Cricetulus griseus: one gene and its partners. The protein of the gene in region 1 interacts with the protein of each later gene in a biochemical or structural test. Links are inferred from orthologs where the notes say so. Each region holds a gene or a part of one and is shown in the gene's direction. Other genes may lie near its edges.

The links.
Region 2: the proteins of Fgf9 (region 1) and Fgfr1 interact in a biophysical measurement, tested with the Homo sapiens proteins (2 studies listed by BioGRID and IntAct, with this or other methods). The link is inferred for Cricetulus griseus from reciprocal best matches to the Homo sapiens genes FGF9 and FGFR1.
Region 3: the proteins of Fgf9 (region 1) and Fgfr3 form a complex in vitro, tested with the Homo sapiens proteins (3 studies listed by BioGRID and IntAct, with this or other methods). The link is inferred for Cricetulus griseus from reciprocal best matches to the Homo sapiens genes FGF9 and FGFR3.

What each region holds. Positions count from the first base shown.
Region 1 is NW_023276807.1:213,232,219-213,239,286, forward strand, and holds the end of Fgf9 (fibroblast growth factor 9), read left to right. Parts: intron 1-4,754; coding exon 4,755-5,000; 3' UTR 5,001-5,029; downstream 5,030-7,068.
Region 2 is NW_023276807.1:58,200,324-58,207,480, reverse strand, and holds the end of Fgfr1 (fibroblast growth factor receptor 1), read left to right. Parts: intron 1-791; coding exon 792-914; intron 915-1,160; coding exon 1,161-1,231; intron 1,232-1,561; coding exon 1,562-1,699; intron 1,700-1,989; coding exon 1,990-2,095; intron 2,096-2,199; coding exon 2,200-2,376; 3' UTR 2,377-4,353; downstream 4,354-7,157. UniProt on the Homo sapiens protein: Tyrosine-protein kinase that acts as a cell-surface receptor for fibroblast growth factors and plays an essential role in the regulation of embryonic development, cell proliferation, differentiation and migration.
Region 3 is NW_023276807.1:102,791,470-102,797,987, forward strand, and holds the end of Fgfr3 (fibroblast growth factor receptor 3), read left to right. Parts: intron 1-350; coding exon 351-541; intron 542-891; coding exon 892-1,040; intron 1,041-1,286; coding exon 1,287-1,408; intron 1,409-1,686; coding exon 1,687-1,797; intron 1,798-1,873; coding exon 1,874-2,064; intron 2,065-2,181; coding exon 2,182-2,304; intron 2,305-2,384; coding exon 2,385-2,455; intron 2,456-2,683; coding exon 2,684-2,821; intron 2,822-2,972; coding exon 2,973-3,078; intron 3,079-3,227; coding exon 3,228-3,374; 3' UTR 3,375-4,883; downstream 4,884-6,518.

The sequences.
Region 1 (7,068 bases):
TGGAGGATTGCCCTTTGCTGTGCAACCCACACCCCTGTGAGGTTGAGCTTCTTTGGCTGCACTAGTGGCAGCAGCCCGAGTGTAAGTGGTACTCTGGGTGATGGATGAGGGCTCGCTTTCTGCTGTGCGTGTTGTCTCTATAAATCCCCTGTGATCAGGCTGACCCTTTTCTTTTACTCTCTTGTTTCAGCTTACACAGTAAGTTTGTCGGATGAGGTGATACTTTGTTAAAAACCTCAGAGCTGAGGCGTGGGGCGCTCAGTGGTAGAGCGCTTGTCTAGCTAGTATGTACAAGGCCCAGCATTTGATCTCCAACATCACAAAACCCAATAACCAAACCAAAGCAACACCAGAAACCTTGCTGATGATTTTTGGCCACTTGGAAGAGTGCTTATGAGGAAGCCAGTAAGAGCTGTTAGATGTTCTTTCAGGTTTAGGGTTAGGAAAGAGATGAGGGGCCAGTAAGATGGCTCAGTGGGGAAAGACGCTTGCTACTAAGGCTGAGCACCCGAGTTTACTCTCTGGGACCCACATTGTGGAAGGTGAAATTGACTTCCACACATGGGCCATGACATGAGCCGCCCCCCCCCATCCCAAGAACTGTAAATAAAAAAATAAAAAGACAAGGTACAGCATGACTTATGTTGAAGTGCTGGTTGATTTGTAAAATTCTGTCCTTTTCTCTTCAGCCCTCTTGACTTTCTAACAATGGGAGAAGATGAATCTATCCGGTTGGCTTCTCCTAAACTTAGTGTATTAAGTCATATGCTTAATATATGAGTATAAAAGGGCATCAGTGCTTTGGTGCTATGTAAAGTGTGTTGTGTGCCCTCCGTTCTGAATGACAGGGGCAGAAGATGACAGTTGTCCCTTAGTATCTGTAAGGGATTAGTTCTATGACCCCCTCGACATACCCAGATCTGCCATAGTACTGCATAAAAGCTATACATATCTTTCTGCCCATTATCTTTGCATAACTCAGAACCCTGAAATCACCGTCAACACTCCAGAAACTCCTATCATAACATGTTTGGGAAGCACAGTGACAGGAAAGACAGAACATGTTTGGTCCTCATGCAACCAACACTCCAAATAACTTCAGTCTGCCACCGGTTGCATCTATGGCTGCAGAGCCCGCCCATGGGTCTGGCTTATTTCTCTTCTCACTTATCCAATGTGCCAAGTGGACAAATGCAAAGCAATTAATTTTTAAAAGTCACCTTTTCCTATTTTTAATGATGGAAACAAAAATACACCTAACACTTAAGCTTCTAGAAGAATTGTTTGTTCCTGCCCATCTTGTGTCATGTCTCAGACCTTGCCCTCCTGTTTGGTCTTCTGTTTCAGAGCTGGCCTCTGAAGACAACCTTTAATGACAGTTTTATCCCAGGAGATAGTCACACGGTACTTTGGAGGAGGTAGGAGGTGATTGTGGTTATACTCCTGTTGGTAATTCCCATCTTTCGTGTGCACCTGCCAGTTTGGTGAGGGTAGCAGTCAATTGCAGCCCCCAGAGTATGGCTATAGGGAGAGTTTGAGGTGCCATCATCAATGTTCTTCAGGACACTGTTGCATCTGGAGTAGCATTCAGCCAGGGCCAGTACCACTTTCCCTGATTTCATGAACTTTCCCATTTGGATAGCAACCAGCAGGTGCCCAGCAGAAAGGACGCAAGAGCACTCTTAGTTTTAAAACAAGCAACTAGAAAGGTATTGATTTTAAAGGTTTCAATTGTGTGGTGATAGGAGCCAAGGGTGGAAGTGTCCCTTTCCTCCTTTCACTAGGAGCAGCCTCAGTACACACACTGCAGCCCAGAGTGTGTTCCTAGCTGTGGGATGTGATGGATGTGTCATTTCTGGTCATGGCTGACATGACAGCATGGTCTCCACACTGTGAGGTTATAGAGCTCAGGGAAAGAGGAAGGGGATGATATTTAAGAAGGCAGAGAGATTTTCTTGCAGTGGGAATGTAAATCCTGTAAAACCGAGGCTAGCTTTTTTCATCTTGGCATCTCTGCACCTGAGCGTGGCTCATGAAATAAGGGGGCTAGAGGATTTGTTTGGAGCCATTACCCCAGTCAAGACAGAAAGCATTATGGCTATTCCTCCTGACTCCCTGGCTGTGCTTCCGAAGATCCAACCACCGTGGACTGAGAACCCTCCACACACATTCCTGTTGTCTTTATTTCCTAAACTAGGGCTTTAGACTTTCCCCACTCGTGAGTGCTTTGTGCTCCTGGGTATAGGGGTGTATAAAATATATACACAAATCAAACACGTGATAATAATAAATTGAAAAGAAAATTTGAAACAGTTCTTTGGCCTATATGTAAAGATAAAACCAGTTTGCGTTCTAGTGAAATGGACAAGCTTGCTTATGTTTACACAGAGAATTAAATCTTGGCTGAATATTTGTTGTGCAGACACAGAGAACTTTCAGTGCTTTTCAGAGATGACCAGGAGTTTGGTTTTTGAATAGTTTATGCTGAGAGTGCTGCTTTGCATAAATACATTGTACAAAATGTCAGAAGTATGTTTAGACCATTTCATAAATGGTTGGAAATTCTATTCTAATCTCAAGCCAAAATTTATTTTTTAATAAAACTCAAGTCAGCAACTCAGATTTTATTAAATTCAAATAACAATTTTTAAAATCAAGCAATCTTCTATAATACAATCGAAAGATGTTCTAATTTGAAAAGTTTACATATTAAGGTGGAAAATATGAAAAGTCTTTGTTTCTCATAATTAAATGGTTTTGTTTTTACAAGAGCAGAAAAGGTTTTATGTATGGTGAAAACATTACAGTTCTCCGTACTTAACAGTCTCAGGTCTGAGCCAAGGAGCTTCAGGCCATGCCGCTTGGCTCTGTGTGGCCTCAGCGTGAGCAGTACGGAACACGCATGATGTTTTGTTCAGAACAAGGCTGCAGTGAAGTCCTGTGACGCAACATGGGAGAGTGCTGCCAGCGGCGCCTCAGATTTATTTTGAATTTGAGTTTCAATTAGCTTTGGTTGTTGCACATTTGGAGACCTTTTGTGGTTGCCAATTCCTTTTGTGAGCCCCATGTTCAGTTGTGCAGTTCCAATGGGACCACACCCCATAGTTTAAGAAGCTGTGTCTTCAATGAGTCTATGTAACTACTTACCCTGCATTTACTCTGTATTAGGTATCATTGGTTATCTAGAGATAGTTTAAAGTCTGAGGGAGGATGGGATAGGTTGCAGGCAAGCACACCATTTATATGTAAGGGGACCTGAACAGTCAAAGATGCTGTGAGACATCTTCAAGCCAATCCTTTGAGAGTATCAAGGTATAATGGATATCTTAAAATGTGGACTAAGAATGGTTTGCCTTAGAATTAGATTGGTTTTTTTGAGACAGAGTTTCTCTGTGTAGCCGTGGCTGTCCTGCAACATACTTTGTAGACCAGACTGGCTTTGAACTTCAGAGATCCACTTGCCTATGCCTACAGAGTTTAGGATTAAAGGCATGCCCCACCACTGCCTGGCTCTCCTAGGGATTTTAAAAACAGCTGTTTTGTACATTTTGAGATCAGAGTTTTAAAGGGTAGAGGCTTCCATAACCCAAAGGTTGAAGACATGGCTCAGGTGAATGTGCCACACTTCAGAGAATAATCCATGCAGCAGGATGCTCCCAGGCTTCGCTTACTGTTAACACTGTGGACATCATTGGATACAGCAAGTACTTTATGAACATGTATTGACAATGAGGTGGTTCTTAGAGTCTCCACTTGGGCAAACCCTTCCCAGTGAGGCTACTTTCCAGATGCTGTGGGGAAATGAGAATCATGAGTGGGTCAGCTGTCCTTTGAATACATCGTCTGACATGAAAGAGACCCAAGAGACAGTGTCTAGGTGCTGTCAGCAGATTGAATGTTTTCATAGTCATCAAGGTGCTACCCTTTTCTTGACTTTGTCCTTGACATTTTTACATTGAATTGTAAAAAGTAATGTGAATCTTGTCTTCAAAAAAATCAGTATTATGATTCATTCCCCTTTCCCCAGATGTTTAAAATTCTTTGTGCTTTAGCCATCTTGAATAAGAAATTCAAATGTCATTAAGTTGATAGAGATAAAACAGTTTTTGGAAAGTGCATTGAAGTAGTTAAAACTGGATTTTTCATTTTTGGTGGTGGATAAGTATGTACAATTTATTTGATAGTGAAAGTATAGAATCCAATACGAAGGTTCACAACTTCCGTTCTGACAGTAAATTTAACCGTTTAGAAGTTCACTGAATCATGTAGTTTTTCAGTTGTTAATTTCCACGTGTGATTTTTCTTACTTTCAACTTTTTAATAATAAAGTTTAAAATAAAAAAATGATTATTCTTATATGGTTCAAGCATACTTGATTTGGAAGTCTGAACTCTGAAATGTCCCCACATTTAAACAATTTTTTCATCACTAACATGATGTCACAAGCAGAAAATTCCATATTATGAGAATTTTAATGAAAACATATGATGCAAGATTACCTCCAGGCTATGCACAGAAGGTGTATTTGAAATGTAAGTGAATTTTGTGTTTAGATATGGGTCACATATCCTAGATATCTCTTCATGCATATGCAAATATTTCAAAATCCAAAATAAAAATAGTTTAGAAGTAGTCTGGTCTAAAGTATCTAGGATAAAGGGGACTCAACTTGTGTGTAACAATGGAGAGTATTGATTTTTAATGAGGCAGCTACATTTTGCAATGTATTTATTTCCTTTCTTCTTTTTTGACAGGAAAAACTCACACAAGAGTGTGTATTCAGAGAACAGTTTGAAGAGAATTGGTACAACACCTACTCTTCCAACCTCTATAAACACGTGGACACCGGAAGGAGATACTATGTTGCATTAAATAAGGATGGGACTCCAAGAGAAGGGACCAGGACTAAACGGCACCAGAAATTTACACATTTTTTACCTAGACCAGTGGACCCGGACAAAGTACCTGAACTATATAAGGATATTCTAAGCCAAAGTTGACAAAGACAGTGTCTTCACTTGAGCCCTTAAAACATAACCACTATCAATGCTTCATGCGGTGGGATCTTATTGATTAGCAGGGCCACCACCTCAGCTCCACTGTTGCCAAACTTTGTCGCATGCATATGTATGATGGAAGCTTGGATGGGGACTTGCTGATTTGCTCTGCACTTACTGGCTGGTCCTTCTGGAGGGCTGCCTGGGGCCACTTGCTTGATTTATTGTGAAAGCAGGGGAGAGAGGCTGCGCGAGAGGGAGGGTGCGAGTGCATGAGTGAGTGAGGAGAGGGGGACAGCAGAGCGCCAAGAGGACAACGGCCTGATGCATGCTGGGAAATAGACACGCTTTTACATTTTCGATCAGTTGAACTTCATCGTTTATCAGCACAGCTGCCATACTTCAACTCATCAGGATTTTTGGCTGGTGGCCTGCTCAAGGGAACACTGCCTTTCCACAGGCGTGGAGGGTGCAGTCTCACTTAAAAGACTGTCAGTTCATTCTCACTGGTATCGTAGCCCAGTGAACTTAAAGCAAAAGACCTCTTAGTTTAAAAGAAAAAAAAAGGAAGAAGAAAAAAGAAAAAAAAGAAAAAAGAAAAAAAGAAAAAAGGTTAAATTTATTTATAGAAATTCCAAAGGCAACATTTTATTTATTTTATATATTTATTTATTATATAGAGTTTATTTTTAATGAAATATGTACAGGCCAGATAGGCATTTTGGAAGCTTTAGGCTCTGTAGGCATTAAATGGCAAAGTCTGCTATGAACCTGTGGTAACTTCATGCAAGTAGGTGTACAAGAGATTCTAATGGCCCTAATGTACTAAAGGCGACAATCTATTTTGTGCCCATGTTATTGTAAACTTCTGCACATCGCTCACGACACTGAGTGTTCACTCTCCAGACTGCTTGTTTCATAGCTTACCCCAGAGGATTAAAGATGAACTGGGTCTCAGCCCTTCACTCCGTGTCTGTAATTTTCCTCTCTCATAACTCAGTGTAACTGGGCGGTTGGAACGAATGAGGGTTGGTGTATGTCTTACTTGTTTTAATCTATTGCAGAGTGTACCAAAGCTAAGCAATAACTATGCCTTTTCATTTCAGACCACTTCCACGACAACAAGACTAACATCAAACATGACACTGATTTTACAATTACCAAGGGAGAGGAAAAAAAAACAAAACATTTATGTAGTACAGATCTCTTCCTCCTCGTCCTCCTTTTTCCTCTTCCTTTCCCCCTCCTTTCTTTTTTCTTCTTTCTTCTCCTCTTCCTTCTTCCTCCTCTCTTATAATAATTATTATTTTTTGAGGCAAACATCAGATGAACAGGATCATTCTTGTAAACTTTTTATTTGTGTCTTGGCTATCAAATATGGATTTATACAAGGACCGTAGGGCTCATTATAACATCTTTTATGGAGATTGCTTTTGGTGTGAACTGTCATAATTACACGGGGCTAGTACCCTTTAAGTAAAACTTGCAACATGAAACCAATAAATCTTTATCAGTAATGACATTAGAGGGGTACTGTACTCATTGCCTGTGCTTTCTTTTCTGAATCGGTCTTCAAGAGTTCACAGAGAGAAGGTTACTGTGTAAAACACTTTTACAGAATCTTTTTATAACATTCTATATGGAAAAGCTTAAGAATACATACTTATTTGAGAGCAAAAATTCTGGAACTTGCTATTGGGCAAGGGAGACCATTTCTCACTCTATACTAAGGTGAAATGAGCCAAATTCTTAAAGCAATACTTAAGAAAAAGGAATCTCTAACACGTTCTCACTTTCTAGCCAGCTAACATTGGGAAATGGGAAGTGACGGTTTAAAAATGTGTTCGAATTTACGAAGCTCATTTTAAGACGCAATATTCTGGTTTTGTTTTGCTCGGATGCACATTCTCGATGGGAAATGAAAGCATGTCACTGGCAAGCTAAAGCTGTTGTGAACTTGAAGTGCCTGACTTCCTGTCATGAGCAGGATCACTGTGGTCCAAGCTGGAACACGTGGTGATGTCCCCTGCTGATGAGCATTAGGGAGGAGCTGAAGGCTCCTATTTGGAAT
Region 2 (7,157 bases), about 160 Mb from region 1:
CTTGGGGTGCACAAAACCAGACCCCTTGTATTTAACTAGGTTCTCCGAGAAACTGAGTTAGGAAAGCCCTTGTCACCTTGGGGCCCGATTGAATTGTTTGAAATCTACACAGCCACTTTCTGCATAGACTTAGGCAACTATTTTTAAATTTACATCTAAGGTCCCATTTGGTAAGAGAGTCTGGCCTCAAATTCATTGTACAGCACAGGCTGGCCTTAAATTTGTGATTCTCCTGCCTCAGCCTCTCAAGTGCTGGTGTTATAGGCATGTGCCACTGAACCTAGCTTTGTATTTCTTCAGATAAAAAATAGGAATACTAATTTCTATGTCCTGGAATTACTGTGAGGATAAGATGACTTGTGTCTGTGAAAGTGACTGTCACAGGTTTCAGTGTTCACTATATCTTTGCTCGAATTCCCTACCCAGTGCAGACATGCTCTGCCAGGGAGAACACGGCTCAGTACACACACTCCACAGCCTAAGTGCACGCCTAAACATTCTGTTTTGGGGTTATAATTCCAAAAGCTAGAGGTTGGGATCAAGAAGGAAGGCATACATAAAGGAGGGCTTGCTAAAGTGACTGAGAAGACTACGGCTGAAGGTGTTGGGAATTAAAGAATATCCTGGGGGGTTGTCCAGAGAGTATGGTGGGAGTGTGGGCAGAAGGCCTACGAGGTAAAGTGGTCCACCACCTACTACACAATAAGTGCTGGAGTAGAGGGGGCTAGATGGGTGTGTGTCGGAGGATGGTTCAAGGTTGTCACCGCCCCTCCCATCTTCCCTGTCTGCAGTGCATACACCGAGACCTGGCTGCTAGGAATGTCCTGGTGACAGAAGACAATGTAATGAAGATCGCAGACTTTGGCCTAGCTCGAGACATTCACCATATCGACTACTATAAAAAAACCACCAATGTAAGTAACTTGCTTGGCATCTCCCAGGTCCCACACCCCCACTAGGCTTTTGCTATACTCTCTGCTATACTCACGTGGGGTTGTGTGATCTAAGAAAAGGTGCTGTAGGATGGGCTGAAAATGTACGTGCTGTGCCCTGGGTCCCACCTATCCCTGCCCTGCTTGTCCCCTCACTGCCCTGAGCCATCATCTTTAATTCTCCCATGAGCTGTCTATGTCATTTCTCCCCCACACTGCTGCTTGCAGGGCCGGCTGCCTGTGAAGTGGATGGCACCCGAGGCCTTGTTTGACCGGATCTACACCCACCAGAGTGACGTGTGAGTTTGAAATACACAATTACCCGGGATATGCTGGGGAAAGAATACTAGCAGTCTTGCATCTCTAGACTGCTGAGAATTTCTTTCCATCATTGGGTGGGGAAGGGCAATGTCTTGTCCCGTGAACATGTTTCAGCCTTTTTTTTGCATTGCCCCTTGCTGCCCCCTTGTCTCCTGTGCCCTGTCTCCTGAACTTAAGGGCTGTGCTGGGGGTGGAGAGGTTCAAGATGAGCACCTGCCCTGCTGACTTCTCAAGAGGACATAGAAAAGAAACCCTAGGGCAGCCTGGCCCTGTGCCGTAAGTCACAGTGGCACCATGTTCTCCTGTAGGTGGTCTTTTGGGGTGCTCTTGTGGGAGATCTTCACTCTGGGTGGCTCCCCATACCCTGGTGTGCCTGTGGAAGAGCTCTTCAAGCTGCTGAAGGAGGGTCATCGGATGGACAAGCCCACTAACTGTACCAATGAGCTGTAAGCATGAATTGGGGGAAAGACTGTGGGGGAAGGCCTGCTGGTAGTTGGCACCATTGAATCCACCGCTGGCAAGCTGGGTCATATGTTGAGGAAATCAGGAAGGGCTCCTTAGGTGGCGGCTCATGGGAGGTTCTTGAAGTCCTCGGGCTCTGAAGGAAGTGGGAGCATGGAGGGCAGATAATGAAACTGTGTGTTTGGAGGGAGCAGCCTCCCGAGTCATGCCGCCCCTGCCCTCTGGCCCAGCTCTGCTGTTGCCTTCCATCTTTGACCTCACTGTCCTGCTTCAGGTACATGATGATGCGGGACTGCTGGCACGCAGTACCCTCTCAGAGGCCCACTTTCAAGCAGCTGGTGGAAGACCTGGACCGCATTGTGGCCTTGACCTCCAACCAGGTAGAGCTACTCTGGGCTGAAACTTGAGCGGTCATCACATAGGCACTAAGGGGACCCTGCCATAAGAAGGTTTGTGTGCCATCTATCCTTTCCTTCTGTCACAGGAATATCTGGACCTGTCGATGCCTCTGGACCAGTACTCTCCCAGCTTTCCCGACACACGGAGCTCTACCTGCTCTTCAGGGGAGGACTCTGTCTTCTCTCATGAGCCGTTGCCTGAGGAACCCTGTCTGCCCCGACACCCGACCCAGCTTGCCAATGGTGGACTCAAAAGACGCTGACTTCCCCGGCCTTTCCCCAATTTCGTCGTCACCTGTGCCCCTCACCCGTAATTCCCTGCGGGACACACTGCCTTTCCCCTTCTCCTTTGCTGCTGGCAAGAGCCAGTGTGTACCTGAGGCCTTCCTGTGAGGCCTACCCCATCGTCACTCCCCACCCCGCCCCAGATCCCTCTTCCTCTTCTCAACCGGCCATGTGAGAAGGGAGTCAAGAGGCAGGTACTTGCTGGTAGCCACTTCCTCCTTCCCAGGTGTTGGACCAAGACCCATCCTGCTGCCTGGTACTCCTTGGAGGCCTGGGGAGTAGAAGCAAGTGGAACAGGTGTGCAAGCAAGAGCTCTCTGGAGTGTTCTGGTTGACTCATTGGCCTCCTGTGTTCTGGTGGCAGCAGCCTTGTGGCTACTGAAGCAATGGGGTTTGTTTCTGTTCGGGCCTTAACTGAAGGCAGTCTCTGCTTCAGATGGGGGGTATCAGTGGCTTCTTAATTCCAATACTAATTTGCTTTGCTGACCAAATACCTGGTACCAGAAGAGAGTGAGGCAGAGATCGGGGGCAGCGATGTGGCCCTGGGGCTGAGCCCTAGACTCGGGGCTCTGTACATAGCTATGAAGAAAACACAAAGTGTATAAATCTGAGTATATATTTACATGTCTTTTTAAAAGGGCCGTTACTAGAGATTTACCCGTTGGGTGAGATGCTCCTGGTGGCTGGGAGGCATCCATTGCTATATATTAAAAACAAAAACAAAAACAAAAAAAAAAAAAGGAAAATGTTTTTTAAAAGGTCATATATTTTTTGCTACTTTTGCTGTTTTATTTTTTTAAATTATGTTTTAGACCTATTTTCAGTTTAGGTCCCTCAATAAAAATTGCTGCTGCTTCATTTTTATCCTGGGCGTGTGAAAAGGGAGCAGATGTCCCCTGCAAAAGAGGGAGACAGGGACTAAGGGGCCATGAGCTGTTGGCACTGTGTGATTTCTATATTTCCCTGACCTCCCAGACCCTTCTATCTCTGATGATTTGGGAAAGACAGGGAAAGAAGACCAAAGTAACGGAGGGCAGAGAACCAAGACTAAGAGCTTGTTCCCTCTGATCATAGATTGTTTCCTCAGAGGAGATGAGACTAGCCAACGGTAGAACAAACCATACAGAGACTCAAAGCCCAAACCCTGTGTGGGTGCGCCTTTGCATCTATGAGAGATGCAAAGCTAGTCTTGTCTTAACCAACCTACTCTCCATTTCCTTTCCCATTCCTATCCTGCCCTTCCTGAGTCCTGTTACCAGGTTGCATTTGTTGTGACTATCCCTGATCTTGGTTTGTAGTTTTTCCTGTACAAACTCCACCCACCCCTCAGGAAAGGAAAAACAATCTTCTTTGGTTTGGGTCTGCTTGGAGACTTACTCCTGCCACCTGCTGGTGGTTATTGTCCTCTTCAGGAGGCACCTTATCATCTTACTCAGACCAGCGCCGCTCTATTCTTAGTGCTTACTGCTGGGTCACTGGGGAATACAAGACAATTCAATATGGCCTCATCCTGCAGGGGTTAGGGCTGCCTCTTTAAATACATTCTGAACGGGGTGTTTTTGGTGGCTGTGGTTTTGGTCATCATCATAGAGTTGTTATCATTGTTTCCCTCTGTAAACCTGTAACTATCAAAGTATTACAAGTGTTTTCTTGTGCTGAAAGGTATAATTCGGCGAAGAGGACCAGGGAATGAATTTTAGCTCAGAATCATCTGCTTAGAGACCATATCATAGTGTCGTTTTCCTTGTTAAAACAGTGACCATAATTTCTGCCTCAGCGCTGCTTGACTCAATGCTGTGTGGATGGATGGGAGGAGAATCTACGGAGTGCTTTGTATGACTCAAGGAAAGGTGCTAGGGTATATAAGGCACTGAAGTCCTTGCTGTTGCTATTCAAATTGCCCACAAATATCCCCTGAGGCAGGGATGGCTATCAAATAAAACATAGTGAAATTGACCTGAAAGAAAATGAAATGGCTATTTTACTTAGGTGACCAGATTGAGTCTCTTGGGAAAGGGAATCCAGCTTATATAATGAAGATGTGCTGTCAAAGTACTGCATCTGTCTGGTTTCCTGGGGGTTAAAATATGGCCAAGGCATCAATCAATACTGCCTTTCAATCCTTTCTAATTGCCAGAGGCTAGAGATCATCAGTCCCTTGGCTCTGTTAATGTAATATATTGATTTCAGGTAAGTAAGATTGAGCATAGATGAAGTAAGAAATGTGCCTTAATGGTAATGAAGTCTGTCTATCAGCTGCCACCGGGTGGAGCCAGCAACCTAAAATCCCCCCACCATATTAGGTAGTGGGCCACTTTGCTCTGAAGTAACAGACCTACCTTCCATTTGGAATCCTTGGCCTGGATTTAGTATTCTAAAACTCTGGACGTGACCAATATGGCTTGTGCAGAATTAGACCTGTTACAAGTGCTGGGTGATACTATTAAATAAAATGCCACCAACAACTATTATGGCAGACTCCTGTGTAAGGTGTGAGCTGTGTCTAGTGTCACTCCAGGTGCATGTTAGAGGTGGCCTAAATTGTACCCTGTGAGATTATTAGTAGCTGGTGGAGCCAAGACACCTACATCTGCAGGGAAGAAGAGAACGGGGGGGGGGGGGACGGACGGACGGACGGACTTGGAAGCAACATGGCTCGGCCTTCCAGCCCCTTAACTGGTAGAAACCAAGAAGGGAGAAGACCAGCAAGAACCCTGAGGTTGGCTGGACCTGGTCATACATGCCTTTAATCCCAGCACTCAGAAAGCAGAGGCAAGCAAATCTGAGTTCAAGGCCAGCCTAGTCTACATTGTGAGTTCAAGGCCTGCTAAAGATGCACAGGGAGACCCTGTCTAAAAGAAAATTAAACAAGAACACTGAAGTTATGAAGGGTTCCAGAACCAGTTCCCTCACTGGACAATGTCCAGAATCATCTTTGCTGTACTGCCTCCCAGATGCGTGCAGTACATGCATCTAGTAAAAGTAGTGCGTTTAGTGGCCAAGCTGCCAGTCATAGGTTCCAGTGGTGTGCTGCAGCTGGTATGTGCTTCTTTGCAGTGAAGTCATCCTTTTTAGGGTACATTTCCATCCTTGGGATCTGCAGCTGTGGTTACTGATCATTGGCTAATGCACTACTAGTGAGGTTGCAGTCTGGGGTTATGGCCAAGTATCCTAAATGTTGAAAATGGAAGCATTGATATCATCTATAAAGATGGGTAGAGAAAGGTATCAAGTATCTCTCTAGCCTAGAAGTTAGCAAAAACAAGTAAAGCTACTACTAGTTCAAGGCCAGTTTGGACTAATGAAACACACAAATTCCCAGCCATGGTGGCACATGCTTTTAATCCTATCACTTGGGAGGCAGAGGCAGATTAATCTCTGCTATCAAGGCTGGCCTGGGCTACAGAGAGAGTTCCAGGACAGCTAGGGCTATGCAGAGAAACCTTGTCTTGAAAAACCAGAACAACCCACAAATGAAACAAATTAACAAGAGAGCAGACCTGGTGACACATGCCTTTAATACCAGAACTCAAGAGGGCAGCTGATGATGATCTCTGTAAATTCAAGGCCAGCCTGGTCTACAGAGCAAGTGCCAGGATAGGCTCCAAAGCTGGTATGTGCTTCTTTGCAGTGAAGTCATCCTTTTTAGGGTGCATTTCCATCCATCAGGAGATCCGCCTGCCTCTGCCTCCTGAGTGCTGGGATTAAAGGTGTGTGCCAACAACACCCAGCCTTTTTTTGTTTTTGTTTTTTGTTTTTTCAAGATAGGATCTTAGTAGATCTGGCTGTCCTAGAACTCACTCTGTTGATCAAGAGATCACAGAGATCCACCTGCCTCTGCTTCCTGAGTGCTGGGATTAAAAGTGTGTGCCACTACTGCCTGGCTAGCTAATCTCATTTTAAGATTTTTATGAGTCTTAATTGCATGTATGTATGTGCATCACATGCATGACTGGTACCTGTGGAATTCAGAAGAGAGTGTTGTGTCCTATGGAACTGGAGTTAGAAATGGTTGTGAGTCACCATGAAGGTGCTGGGAATGGAGCCCTGATCCTTTGTAAGATCAAATGGTCTTAACCACTGAACAATGGCTCCAGCATCACTAATCTGTTTTGACTTCTTTCCTTCAAGATGCTTTGCCTTCCTGGGAAGTATATCCAACCTGGTCCCCAGGTACTTATGGCACTGTTCCACTGAGGAATCACTCTGCAAAGGTGGGTCAGGTACTCTTTTTTTTTTTTAATTTATTCATTTATTATGTATACAACATTCTGCTTCCATGTATATCTGGACACCAGAAGAGGGCACCAGATCTCATAACGGATGGTTGTGAGCCACCATGTGGTTGCTGGGAATTGAACTCAGGACCTCTGGAAGAGCAGTCAGTGCTCTTAACCTCTGAGCCATCTCTCCAGCCATAAGTCAGGTACTCTTAAAAGTGGTTTTGGCAACCTCCATGTTCTGACTAGCGATTCCACACCACAGGAGGCAGAGGTAACCAAGGTGCCAAGAGGAAATACATTTCCTCTTAAAAGATCTGAACCACCTGGTCTGTAATCGTCCCAGGTACTTGGGAGATGGCAGGGTCGGGGGAGGGAGGCCAAAAATTCAAGGCTAGCCTGGGCGATTTGACCTTACCTCAAAATTTACAAAAGGAGAAGGGCAAAGGATATATAGCCCACTGATGGAGTAGTTGCCTAGAAACCACAGGGCCCTCTGAATTCACTCCCCGGTGCTATCCCCCTCCAAATGCACACAAA
Region 3 (6,518 bases), about 110 Mb from region 1:
CCCCAGCCTTGTGCTTGGTATGGGAGCATCAACCTGCCCCATCTTGGTCCTGCAAGGCCCCCCCCCCTTCATCTTCTAGTTGGGTGCCCACAGTCCTGATCTGAGGCTCTGGCATTTCCTGGGTGCCCGGGTGGCGGTATGGATGCTTCTGGCTCTGCTGGGCTTCTGTCCTGGGTCTGGCCATGCTGACTTACAGTTGTTTTTAACTATATTACCAAGGCAAGTGGGGAGCCTTGATCCCTCCATCTCTTGAGTATCTCAGGTACTTTCCCTCCCACACTGGTGCTTGTGTCCAGCCGGTGGGAAACCTGAAAAGGCTGGATGAGGCCCCCAAACTTGTGTCTTTACAGCTGAGGAGGAGCTGATGGAAGTCGATGAAGCTGGCAGCGTGTATGCAGGCATCCTCAGCTACGGGGTGGGATTCTTCCTCTTCATCCTGGTGGTGGCAGCTGTGACGCTCTGTCGCCTTCGAAGTCCCCCAAAGAAGGGCCTGGGCTCACCCACTGTGCACAAGGTCTCTCGCTTCCCGCTTAAGCGACAGGTAACAGAAAGTAGATACCAGGTTTTGAGCTCCCTGTCTGCATTGGGTTTCCTAGAGTCCCGGTAGTACCCAGGGCCTGGGGCCTCCTAGGACTCATTCCTCTGCAGTTGAGTGGGCTGATCCCTCCCTGTCTATGTTCTCCACATGGAGCCTAAATCTTGTGGTGCAAACAGTTTTTAGTAGTCTTCAGTATCCACTTTATAGAAGTCAGAGAAACCAGCCCTTTTTTTGACCCCACGCCCTGCCTCACATAGACTTAATCTTGCTATTCCTGGTAGCTATACCACCTCACCGCTTTTCCATTGCTCAGCCCACATTGTGTGGTACCAACCTGTCCCTGATGACCCAAGCAGGTATCCTTGGAGTCCAACTCCTCTATGAACTCCAACACACCCCTTGTCCGCATTGCCCGGCTGTCCTCCGGAGAAGGTCCTGTTCTGGCTAATGTTTCTGAACTTGAGCTGCCTGCTGACCCCAAGTGGGAGCTATCCAGGACCCGGTTAGTGGTGGTGAGGGACAGTATGTACTTGGTGGGGGTTCTGGGGCTGGGGACTGGAGAGTTACTAGGCAGGGACCTGTTGAAGGTGGGATGAGATGTTCCTGAGGTAGAGTGCGGGGTGAGATTTGAGGTTTACTTTTGGTCTTCATGAGCAAATGCCCATGGAGCTTCCAGGACACAGTGGCACATGACTATGAGTCCTGGGAGTTCTGGGCACACACTTACTGCCTCTGCTTCTGTGGCCAGGCTGACACTCGGTAAGCCCCTTGGAGAAGGCTGCTTTGGCCAGGTTGTCATGGCAGAAGCTATTGGCATTGACAAGGACCGAACTGCCAAGCCTGTTACGGTGGCTGTGAAGATGCTGAAAGGTGAGAAGGGAGAGAAGTAGAAGGGCATTTTATTATTATTATTATTATTATTATTATTATTATTATTATTATTGGTTTTTCGAGACAGGGTTTCTCTGTGGCTTTGGCGGCTGTCCTGGAACTAGCTCTTGTAGACGAGGCTAGTCTCCAACTCACAGAGATCCTCCTGCCTCTGCCTCCCGAGTGCTGGGATTAAAGGCGTGTGCTACCACTGCCTAATGTAGAAGGGCATTTGAGGGCTGTGGGGCCATTAACAGACAAAACCATTCCTGCTATAGATGATGCCACTGACAAGGACCTGTCGGACCTGGTGTCTGAGATGGAGATGATGAAAATGATTGGCAAACACAAGAACATCATCAACCTGCTGGGGGCCTGCACACAGGGTGGTAGGTGCAGCAGGTGGGCAGATTGGTAGAGGGGGGCTCCTGAGTCACACAGCATCTCAGCTGTGTGTATTCCCAGGGCCCCTGTATGTGCTGGTGGAGTATGCAGCCAAGGGCAACCTACGAGAGTTCCTGCGGGCACGACGGCCTCCAGGCATGGACTACTCCTTTGATGCCTGCAGGCTGCCAGAAGAACAGCTTACTTGCAAGGATCTTGTGTCTTGTGCCTACCAGGTGGCCCGGGGCATGGAATACCTGGCTTCCCAGAAGGTATGCAGAGATAGGTCCCAGACCAGGTGGGGTCTGTCTGGGTGGAAGAGTGAATATCAAACTTGCCTGAGCTGGGGAGGTGTCAGCTTAGCCCAGGTTCCTTGTATGTTTCCTCAGTGCATTCACAGAGACTTGGCTGCCAGAAACGTGCTGGTGACTGAGGATAATGTGATGAAGATTGCAGACTTTGGCCTGGCCCGTGACGTGCATAATCTAGACTACTACAAGAAGACCACAAATGTGAGCCCTGGTCTAGGGTAGTTTGGGTGTAATGCTCCACTGGTGGACACATGAGAGCCAATACCTCTCCCTCTGTCCAGGGCCGGCTACCAGTGAAGTGGATGGCACCAGAGGCCCTGTTTGACCGAGTCTACACCCACCAGAGTGATGTGTATGTATCCCCACATAGGATGGGGCTAGGGAGTTGCACCTCTCACAGCCTTCAGGATCCTGGTCCTCCCAGGCTGTAGTTTATCCCCTCATTGGGCCAACAGTATAGCCCTGGTGTCTTACTTATCCTGGTGCCCTCACCCCTTGCCCATTGGTGGTGTGTCCTGGTGCAGGGCTGCAGCAGCAATGGACCAGGAGTAACAGGCCTTTTGTCCTCACTCCCTTGCAGCTGGTCCTTTGGGGTCCTTCTCTGGGAGATCTTCACACTGGGGGGCTCACCGTATCCTGGCATCCCAGTGGAAGAGCTCTTCAAGCTATTGAAAGAGGGCCACCGCATGGACAAGCCAGCCAACTGCACACATGACCTGTGAGCAAAGCATCCCTTGCTCATTCCTCTACCCAGTCCCTGGGGATGGCAGGATTCCTACCAGGGTCCCTGGGATGAGTAGAGGATTAGTGGCTGGGATGAGGTAGGGATTGCCTGCAGGCCAGGAACTCAATAGCTATACCTGCCACAGGTACATGATCATGCGGGAATGTTGGCATGCGGTACCTTCACAGAGGCCTACCTTCAAGCAGCTGGTAGAGGACTTAGACCGCATCCTTACTGTTACGTCAACTGATGTAAGTGCCACTCAATCCTACTCCCTCTGGGTGTTGTTCCTTGGGGCTCCAGTGGTGGGACTGCCCTTGAAGGTCACAGTCTGAACACAAATGGCCATGGGATTGAAGAGAGTGCCAAGGCACATCCTGACAGCCTTGTCTACCAACAGGAATACCTGGACCTATCGGTGCCTTTTGAGCAGTACTCGCCAGGTGGCCAGGATACTCCTAGCTCCAGCTCTTCAGGAGACGACTCTGTGTTCACCCATGATTTGCTGCCCTCAGGTCCACCCACTAATGGGGGACCTCGGACGTGAGGGGCCAACAATCCTACAGACCAAGCCCTAGCCAATGTTTACGCGGAACCTAGCCCGCTCTGCTATTGCTGGTGTGCAGTGGACTCCAGCCAGCCCAGTGTGATGGACCAACAATAGACAGGACTTCCTGTGTGTGTGTGTCCTTGGCTCCTGGGTGCAGAGGCCCCTTGGGAACATGCACTGCTGTACAGTGGTCTTCTGACTGGCCAGGGTCAGGAGCACCAAATGTAGAATGTAAAGAGGGCCCACCCTGTGCAACCCTGGGGTTCTGGCTCCCTCATTTCCCACTGCCACCTCCCAGGGACCATTGTAGAGAAGGCTATACTCCCATGTCCAGGGTGGACCTTGGCCTTTTTGGTGCCTAAAGCTGAGCCTGCAGGGAAGCTCTGCCCTATGTGGCGAGCCTCTCTTCTACATGGCACCTTGTGTTTGGTGGTGAGTCACAGCTCTCCACCTCCAGGCCTTCTATTTCTCACCCCGACCCTCAGACTGAAATTACGGGTACCTGAAGGTGGGAGCTATAACTTCTATCAGAAAGGTTTATTCCAGAAACAAATGTACATTTATATAAATAGATGTCCTGTATGATATATACATACATATATATAAAAGAATATCTATATGGAGGCAGGCAAAACTGAGGTCCAGAGGAGCAAGATACCCCATAGGGCTCACTGGTAAAATGCCAAGAACAAGCCAAGAAGCAAGGAGCTTTTCTGGCACCACAGTTTTGTTTGTACATGGACCTGTATATTTGTAAAGCTATTTATCATCCCTCAAAGCCCCAGCCCCCCCACCCCAAGTTCATAGTATTTAGTTCTAGGGTATTGCAGAAACTTTTAAGTTGTAACTTATTAACAGTTGAAGAGGTTTATGTGGAATTTTGGGGGTTGCTGAGAATGTGCATCTGGCCCCCAAGGACTAGAGGCAGCCCTTGGAGCTCCAGCAGCCCTCGAGTTAGAGGTGACTCCAGTTCTTACTTCCTTTGGCCCTCTTTCATGGGGGATTAGATTTATATAGGACCTTCCTCTTAGGAGATTTTTAAAAAATTTCAAGGTGACCGGTATTTTCATACAGATTATTCTAATTGATGTATATTCTAGGCAGAAGCCTGTGCCCAGGGAGGAGCCAGCCCTGCCTGAAGGTTCAGATGTTAATAGATGTTACAAGTTTATATATCTATCTCTATATAATTTATTGAGTCTTTATAAGTTGTATTTGCTGTAGCCTTAACACTTCTTATGGAGTGCTTCTAGACTTTTATGGCCTAGACTGCTACCTTTCAAAGCTTGGGAGTAAGAGTGGTGAATTCAGTTTTGTTACTTTTTGTACTGTTACTGGGCCCTAGGCTTGGGTGGCTGTACCTTGCCCATTAGCAAGCAGGGCAAGGACAGTGGCTCAGGGTAACTTTTCTTAGGGCCCAGCACATAGTTTGTCAGCCCAAACTGGCAGATGTGATTTTAACATAGCCAACTTTCTTCCAGAAAATAAAGTGAGAACTGGCTCTGATTTTTTAGAGTGCTTTACCTTCTGTTCTGGGATCTGCACAGCTGTGTCCTTACTGCCTGTGGGGACAGGCGAGGAGGGATAATAGCATCCAAGGAATCAGCAGCCTCTGGTCCCCAGTGCAAGGTGCTGGTCTCAGGCTCCAAGGGGACTAATTATCTTTGCTTTTCCTTACCTGGGTAAGGACAGCTGGGCTCAGGGGTGTCGTCTTGTGGCCGAAGGTGGCAGGTAAAACCTCAGGGTTACTAGTCTATAGGTTCCAAGGAAAGGGTGCAATAGAGTTGTGTCCATCGGAGGCGATCATGGGTGTGTGGAGGAAGTGCTCTTGGCCTCTCCAGCTCCCTGGCTGTCTTGACAGGGGAGGGATCCCATGAAGACAGATGGTGCTTTTAAGTATATGTAGTAATCTCTTTGGGGAAGCCAGGTAACCAAACACCTGGTTTAAGCAATCTACACTGGGCCAAACCTGGTGCAGGGGATCTCTGAGTTTGAGGTAAGCCTAATAATCTACGTAATGAATTTCAGGACAATGTAGAGAGAACTTAGTGTTTCCTTCCTATATCCATTTTGTCTGTCATACTTTCTAACCTTGGGAGAAGATCTAAGGAATGAAATTTCTCTCTTGCTCCACATCTCGCTAGGACTAGGCCCATCTTATAGGAGATTTGCATAGTCAAGGTGACTGAAATACTGGTTCTAGACAGTTGAAATGGGAGGTACAGGGTTTTAGAGGAAACTGTAGGCTTAACTCTCGTTGGTTGACCATAGCAACCTCAATTGGCACCAGACAGTTTCATGCCAGGGACTTGAGCCACATAGATACCTTATGATAGTGACCAGGCATGGAGAGAGAGAGAGAGAGCGCGCGCGGGCGAGAGTGTGTGTGTGTAGGGGCGTGGTACCAGATGGATACATTCTTGTGTGTGTGTGTGTGTGTGTGTGTGTCCGATGGATACATTCTTACCCCTGAAACAGGCTTGACATGGCTTGGGTCACCTGTGTGCCAGTCTGGCGCCCCCTAGTGCCATACTGAGCATAGCTTCCTATGGCAACCTGGAAGTCTTTTTAACTCCAAGAAAAGATTTGAACCAAGGGGTTGGTTCATGGTGACAGAGTGGTCTTGAGAGGAACAGGGGTCATAGGTCAGACCATTCTTGTCCATGATATTCCCATTGCCACCTTAGAAGAGACAGAGGTTTGGGCCTTGAGCTGCACCACCAGTGTCTATTGGGTGGCCACTGCCCAATGAGTAAACAGTATGAGTAGCTCTGTACTACCAAGCATTGGATTTGCATTCAAATCTCCCATGCCTTACTGAACCCAGGCACCTTCTGCTGTGTCTAGTAGTCTCTTTGGGAGGAATCTCTACCTGACTGCATTGCTATTTGGATATGGGAGGCAGTGGTGATGAATGGTTTCCTGGCTTCTGGCTAGCAGCAGGCACAGGTCGGCTCCCAGAACACTCCTGCTTATCCACTGGCATGTAGCTGTGTCCCCAGTGGTCTGAGGATCGGCAGCAAGAATTACTCTCTGGGCTGGAGAGATGGTTCCATGATTTAGTTGAGTACTTGCTGCTCTGATGACCTGGCTTTTATTCTTAACACCTACATGATGGTAACAACTATCAACTCCAGTTCC